Arabidopsis thaliana: one gene and its partner. The protein of the gene in region 1 interacts with the protein of each later gene in a biochemical or structural test. Each region holds a gene or a part of one and is shown on either strand. Other genes may lie near its edges.

Region 1 (3,926 bases):
ATAAACTCAATTATCGGATGGAAATCTTCTATAGGTAGATGGTCAAGAGTTCAAGCTAGTGGAGATTACAATGACAGGCTTGGGATTACCATTCTTGGTAACTTCATTGTTTTCTTTTTGTTCAACAAATTTTTCGTTATATTTTTTCTGATTAATTTGTTTCTGCAGGTGAGGCTGTAACTGTGGAAGATGAAGTAGCAGTCATAGGAAGCATTGTTCTCCAGAATAAGACTCTTAATGTTAGTGTTCAAGATGATATCATCTTGTGATTTATCACAATGATTATCGTTTGGATTTTTTTTCTTTTTAATTGAAACAGAGAAACTTTTACAGAATTGTGTATTACATGAATTGAGTTCACAGGATTAGATTTTGAGTAAGTGAAACTATGGAAGATTTGTAAACTCTCACTGTACTTTGTGTTTAGATACTAAAAAGATTTTAGAAGAAAGAGTTTTAAAAGATCTAAGATAACAAGGAATCAAAGAAGTTTTGCTTCTTGATTGTGTAATCACTAGTGTTCAATACCTCCTTAGGCTCCTTTCTTTTGTGCAAATTGCTCACTAGAAAAATTGTTTATCTTGACTTCGTTTGTGGGGGTAGGCCCGGACATAATACCGGAACCCGAAGAACCGAACTGAACTTGACTCGAAATAACCAAACCCGTTCTACTTCGGTTCCGGCTAATTACTTGATCGGGTTCTGTTTTCAAATAACCGTGGGTACCGGAAATTACCCGAACTGAACCCGATACCCGTGGGTACTTTTTATTACCCGAACATATATATACATAGGGCTGCGCATATGGGTAACCCGTTCGGATTCGGGTAAAACCCGTTCGGGTTCGGGTTAAATGGGTAATGGATTTACTACCCAATAGGGTAAAATGAAAATTTTCGATTTCGGTCTAGTTCGGGTACATTCGGGTTCGGGTCGGCTTGGGTAAAGAATTTCAGGCCCTAAGAATAGCCAAACAAATGAAAACGGGTATTTTATGTGTAGATAGCGGGTACCCAACAAAAAAAAAACCTTAAATATTAACAAATTTTAATAATTTAATTAGATTTAGATATATTATACTAAATTTTGACAAACATAACAAATAATTTTTAAATAGTTGGGTATTTAGATCTAAAAGTAATTGATATATTTAGATTTATAATTATAATTTTAGATTATTACATTATATTAAGATTAAATATAATTAATATTTTTGATATTAAATCTATGTTCGGGTATCCTGTTTGGGTAACGGATAAACCCCGGACCGACCTGATACCCACGGGTTTACTAAAACTTTACCCAATGAAGTAATTTCTTAAAACCCTAACCCACCCCAACCCGATTTTTCGGTTCGGGTATCAGGTTCGATATCGGGTCCCGTTTTTTGCCCAGCCCTATATATACATATGAGGATATATATACACTAATAATGTGACTTGTTTAATGATTTGAGTTATGGAACAAGCTTAAAACAAGGTTTACTTCTTGTTTTATATTATTGGCTTAAGGAAAAACTTGTTATAATTTCAGATCTTTCGGGTTTTATGGATATTTTTATGTATGTTTGGGTATATTTGGACAAAGTTTGGGTAAGTAGTACTCAAACCCGAAATAGTTTTGGTTACTTATGGTTTTTTTAACTAATACCTGAATTATCGGACCCGAAGTGAAGCCGAACCGAACCCGACCCGAAATTGTTGATATAACCATACGGATCCAAAATTTCTAAACCCAAAAATTCGAACCCGAAAAATCCGACCCGACCCTGACCCGAATACCACATGCCCAGGGCTATGTTAGGGGAAAAAAAAAAAATACATGTGGGCTTAAATGGGGTTTGAAATTAAAACCGGTCTGAATAGACGGTTCATTAAGAAAACCGGCAATTAAAAACCGAACTTCATAGAGAGTCTTCTTTACGCATTCTCCGTCATTCGGTTAAGTTGCATCGATCGTTAGGGTTTTATCGAGAGAGCAAGGAGAGCGATTTCTCAAATCGACTTTAATGGCTGACGACGATTACAATGAAGTCGATGACTTGGGGTAATCTCTCCCTCTCTGTTTCCTATGTTAGTATCATTTGTACTCGATTTCAGTTGATTCTATCTTCTTCTTCCCGACGAATCGTAAACGATTGAGAACAATTGGATCAATTATTGTCTAGTTTGAGAGTCTATCAACGAGATTCTTTTTTGAAAATTTGCTTATTGTTCTGGCATCGTAGCATTGATTATAATTTCATATTGTTTAGATAGAAAACCCTAATTTCGTTTGAATCTTATACATCGGATTTCAAATTGTTGATGTTATGTGGTGATTTTCAATTGCAGATATGAAGATGAGCCAGCAGAGCCTGAGATCGAAGTAAGTTATTATTTGTAGAAGAGAGATTGACATTGCTTATTATTATTACTAGGCTGATTAGAATGTGTTGGTGTGAGTAGGAAGGAGTAGAGGAAGATGCTGATATCAAGGAGAACGATGATGTTAATGTTGACCCTTTGGAAACAGAAGATAAGGTTGAAACAGAACCTGTGCAACGCCCACGTAAAACCTCTAAGTTTATGACTAAGTATGAACGTGCACGTATCCTCGGCACTCGTGCTTTGCAGATTAGGTCAGCTACTGAGAACAATCTTTGTTGATTAACCGTTTAGTTGGCTCGGAAAGTTTGATTCTATGTACTGTTGTTGGCTGATACAGCATGAATGCTCCTGTTATGGTTGAGTTGGAGGGTGAGACTGATCCACTTGAGGTGTTGCCTTCTTCCTTCTTGTTGTGTTTTTCATGATTTGTCAGTAAATGTTGATATGTATATGAACATTTGTGTTGTTTATTGTATGATTTGGCTTAAGATTGCGATGAAAGAGCTTAGGCAAAGGAAGATTCCATTTACCATTAGACGTTATCTACCTGATATGAGGTGAGATTGCATTAGTTATATCAATACTTTTAGCTCTTCTTTCAAATTTGATATCTTCTTTTCTTGCGACTTACTTATGACTCTGAATCAGTTACGAGGAATGGGGAGTTGATGAACTGATCGTCGAAGACTCGTGGAAACGTCAAGTCGGTGGTGATTGATAAAATCTGGCCTATGTGTTTTGCAAAGCTTTCTGCTCTTGTATGGATTATGAACTTACGATATAGTCGCATGTAGAACTTCTTCATTTGTCCTATTCTCCAACACTACAAGAGTCAGGGACTCCAACAAAAATGCATGAACAACAAATTTTTTGTCCCAAGTTGTTTTTGGACATGGGTTTCGACAAGCCTGCATGTACATATACAAAGAAAGAAAATCCTTCGTGAAACCAAAAGAAGAAAACATCTATAATAGTTTGAGTATTGAGTAAGTACAACTCAATTGATAAACCTTTTCTCTCACACTTCCCAGCTTTTGTCGTCTCACAGAGTCAGATCGATTGATGCATAAATGAGTGATGCTAAAAATCAAAAAGCAAGATTAGAGAAGAATTATGCATGTTGTTTAAAGAAGTTGAGAAATAGTAATGTTAAAAACTATGTGAAGCGCTTGCTCGAGGATTGTTTCAGCAACACTATACAAGTGACTGGACTCAACTACTCACCATAGTCTCGGCCCAACGCAAGGATAGTGTAGCATGTTTCTTGATGAAATACATCTTTCAAACCACCGTTTACACCATCTGGCATGAGAGGAATCGAAGACGTCATGATGAATCTCCAAAATCTGCAGCCACTCTAATACAATGGATCGACAAGCAAATGCGTTTCCAACGCTGGCTTCAAAGTTGAAGTTAATCACTAAATTGTTCATTCTAATTTCTGATTTCAATCTATTTCATATAGAACATATGATACACTAATTGTAACGACGTTATCTTTTTTGAATCTAATTTACCATTTTCCAAAAAAAAAAAAAAAAAAAATGCAGGGATTAG
Region 2 (3,926 bases), on another chromosome or scaffold:
GTTTTCATGATCCATTTATTTGTGGCTTGTAAAGGATAGTAGCCAATCACTTAGAGAAGATCGATTTGGGGTATAACTGGTGAACTCTCTTAACCCTTGTTTTGTCATCTTCGTATTTGAGATTTACGTTACTTTCAATGTTAACGCACATGGAATCTTTTTCGTTTATTAGGTTAGTGTTCATAGCTGTTGCATTGATGGTCTAGTGGCGAGTTAGTATATATTAATCTAATTTAGTGTTAATAAGTCTCAACTGTGGTTATCTCCTATATTTTCTCATTGGTTTGTGATTTGAAGTAAGTAACTTTCATGCTTTTATGGATGGAATATAGTCATATATATGACTGTCTTGCCTTTCCTAACTAGTATCAATCTGCTAATTTGCTCATAGTTCCCACTTTGTGAAATATAAAACTTATTAACAGATTTGGTGGACATGAGGATGATCCGATTATAAAAGTAGGGCATTGTTAGTTGGTTTATTGTTCACAAAATTAGGCTTTGCTTTGGGGTTCGAGGTTGATGGTTTGAGTACAGTTTAACTTTGAGAGATTGTTTGGACTTTATTTTTCCCGGGGCTAATATCTAATTGCTTTAGCAACAGCTTCATCAGCATGATAAAATTCGCCTTCGGAAACCATCTTGTTTCGATTCCTCCAAACCTTATGGCTTGAGAATTACTAATCTTGTGATATAGTATTTACAATACATGACATACCATTTGAGTTCAAGGTAAGAGTGTCTCCAGAATTTTGTTCTTGCAACCACAGGAGTGATATGTCATTATAGACTTCATTATAGAGATGACTTGTTCATAAGAGAAATGGTCAGGTTTGGTATATGTTCAGAAAATGTGTTTGAAGTGAAAAATGTATATGCAAGAATTTTTAAAAAAATTGAAGTTCAAAACCTCCACATCTAGTATCCAAACACTTTAAACACGTGTACCAGCCTTATGTTAAAAAGGGCAAAGATAGATCAGCGTCAACATAATAACCTCGTACGGCACAACCCTTCCCTTCTTTTCTTTGTTTAATTGTAAGCCAGGAAAAGTTTCACTTTCAAGTTTCAAAGTTGTGTGTCTGCTTCTTCTGAAACTGTACTACTTTATTTACTTTCCATTTGCGAGGGCATTTTAGTCAGTAACCATAAATAAAATGGCTTGTTCATTTCCTTTGGGCTTCTTTACAAGATCTAGTGATCCAATGGCTTGTAGGTCCCACAAATATAGCCGTTAGGAGGAGAAGTGAAGGAGCGGAGCGGTTTGTTGTTCGTGTGTCGTGTCCATTAGGCAGCTCCGACGCATTAAACGAAGCTGGTCTGCAAGAATAAAATAAAATTATGTTGTCTGCTTTATTTGTTACTTTATTCGGAAGAACAATACTTTGATCTCTTTCCTTAGATTTGGAATAAAATTAAATAATGTTGACCTCACATACAAACAACTAAGAGCTATAAAAAAAAGATTCCAAGAAAACAACTGGTAAATTTGAATGTAAGTAATATATTACTGGTTCAAATTCGAAGCATGATAGTACTCTTGACAAATCAAAATTTTTGTTTTTGTAATACTAGTAAATTTTTCATCTTTGTCAGAACCAACATGTTTGTATTGTGATTAATGATTTTTTATCGTTTTTTGATACTTAGTTAACAAAATCTACCTTTATGTATTAGTAATTCCAAATTCCCAATGAAATCCATATACTAGTATTTTACTAAACACTGTTAAACAAAATGACATGAGCAAGAGCAACCCATCGAACAAAACAAAGTGTTTTCAAAACACTATTAAACACAAGTAACTAATATGAATAAATGAAACTAGCCGTTGGAGCCCATTTACTAATATTAGGCCAGAACAGAGAGATCCACTGTTCCCACCCCCCAACCTCTTATTACCATCACCTGATCTTTGTCTCCCTTCTCTCTCTTTCTCTCACTTCTCTCTCACTACAAGATAAAAGAACACAGACCAAGATTCTCTCTCTCTCTCTAAGATGGTCACGTGCTCTGTTGTTCTTTTCCAACGAAACCCATCTCTCTCTTTACAAAACTCTTTCAAATCCAAAATCTTTCCCTGTTCCATCCTCATCACAACTACTATTCACCCATAAAGAACTCCAATTATCTTCTTTCTTCTCTCTTCTTCTTCTTCTTCATCTTCTAATGGAGTTTATCACCCAAAACCAAGCTATTACTTCTCTGAGTATGATCAACACCGACATTGATCAACCTAAGGCTTCACTTCGAAGCCGATTTCTCCTTCATCTAATCATATGCCTCCTCTTCTTCGTCCCTCCCTGCTCAAGCCAAGCCTGGGATGGTGTAGTGATAACACAAGCTGATTACCAAGGTCTTCAAGCAGTTAAACAAGAACTGATTGATCCAAGAGGCTTCTTGAGAAGCTGGAACGGTTCTGGATTCAGTGCTTGCTCTGGAGGCTGGGCTGGAATAAAATGTGCTCAAGGTCAAGTCATCGTCATTCAACTTCCATGGAAGAGTCTTGGAGGTAGAATCTCTGAGAAAATCGGACAGCTTCAAGCTCTTCGTAAGCTTAGTCTTCATGACAACAACCTTGGAGGTTCGATTCCAATGTCATTGGGACTCATTCCTAATCTTAGAGGAGTTCAGCTTTTCAACAACCGTCTCACTGGCTCAATCCCTGCTTCTCTCGGTGTATCACATTTCCTTCAAACGCTTGATCTCAGCAATAACTTGCTCTCTGAGATTATTCCACCGAATCTTGCTGACTCTTCTAAGCTTCTTAGGCTTAATCTCAGCTTTAATTCACTGTCTGGTCAAATCCCAGTGAGTCTCTCTCGGTCTTCTTCCCTTCAGTTTCTTGCTCTTGACCATAACAACCTCTCTGGTCCAATCTTAGATACTTGGGGTAGTAAGTCTCTTAATCTCCGTGTCTTATCTCTTGATCACAACTCTCTCTCTGGTCCGTTCCCATTTTCACTCTGCAACTTAACTCAGCTGCAAGATTTTTTCCTTTAGTCATAATAGGATCCGTGGAACCCTACCCTCTGAGCTAAGCAAACTCACTAAGCTTAGAAAAATGGATATTAGTGGTAACAGTGTTAGTGGCCATATCCCTGAAACCCTAGGGAACATTTCTTCTCTTATACATTTGGATTTGTCTCAAAACAAACTCACCGGAGAGATTCCTATTTCGATTTCTGACCTGGAAAGCCTGAACTTCTTCAATGTCTCTTATAACAACTTATCTGGTCCTGTTCCTACTCTCTTGTCCCAAAAGTTCAATTCCTCTTCTTTTGTCGGGAACTCACTGCTTTGCGGATACAGCGTTTCGACACCATGTCCTACTCTTCCTTCACCGTCTCCTGAAAAAGAAAGGAAACCATCCCACAGGAATCTGAGTACCAAAGACATCATCCTCATTGCGTCTGGAGCACTCCTCATAGTTATGCTTATCCTTGTTTGTGTTCTATGTTGCTTGCTGAGGAAGAAAGCCAATGAAACCAAAGCCAAGGGCGGAGAGGCTGGACCTGGAGCTGTAGCCGCAAAGACTGAGAAAGGAGGGGAAGCTGAAGCTGGAGGTGAAACTGGAGGGAAGCTGGTTCATTTTGATGGACCAATGGCGTTTACTGCAGATGATCTTTTGTGTGCAACAGCAGAGATAATGGGGAAAAGCACTTATGGGACTGTGTACAAAGCTACACTTGAAGATGGAAGTCAAGTAGCAGTGAAGAGATTGAGAGAAAGATCACCAAAAGTCAAAAAGAGTTTGAGAATGAGATTAACGTCTTGGGAAGAATCCGGCATCCGAATCTCCTTGCACTCAGAGCTTATTACTTAGGCCCTAAAGGAGAGAAGCTTGTCGTCTTCGATTACATGTCTAGAGGAAGCCTTGCCACGTTTCTCCATGGTAAGTTTGATACTAAAGTCTTAAAGTTAAA

Evidence for each region.
Region 2: the proteins of NRPB6B (region 1) and MRLK form a complex in vitro, tested with the Arabidopsis thaliana proteins (one study listed by BioGRID).

What each region holds. Positions count from the first base shown.
Region 1 is NC_003071.7:1,618,329-1,622,254, reverse strand, and holds NRPB6B (RNA polymerase Rpb6), read left to right. Parts: upstream 1-1,875; 5' UTR 1,876-2,008; coding exon 2,009-2,046; intron 2,047-2,333; coding exon 2,334-2,367; intron 2,368-2,447; coding exon 2,448-2,620; intron 2,621-2,706; coding exon 2,707-2,758; intron 2,759-2,858; coding exon 2,859-2,926; intron 2,927-3,017; coding exon 3,018-3,087; 3' UTR 3,088-3,464; downstream 3,465-3,926. Other genes in the region: AT2G04650 (ADP-glucose pyrophosphorylase family protein), read left to right, coding at 1-97, 169-269. UniProt on the Arabidopsis thaliana protein: DNA-dependent RNA polymerase catalyzes the transcription of DNA into RNA using the four ribonucleoside triphosphates as substrates. Component of RNA polymerase II which synthesizes mRNA precursors and many functional non-coding RNAs.
Region 2 is NC_003074.8:20,817,761-20,821,686, reverse strand, and holds the start of MRLK (meristematic receptor-like kinase), read left to right. Parts: upstream 1-2,169; coding exon 2,170-2,900; coding exon of another isoform or gene 2,901-3,012; coding exon 3,013-3,826; coding exon of another isoform or gene 3,827-3,895; intron 3,896-3,926. UniProt on the Arabidopsis thaliana protein: Can phosphorylate AGL24.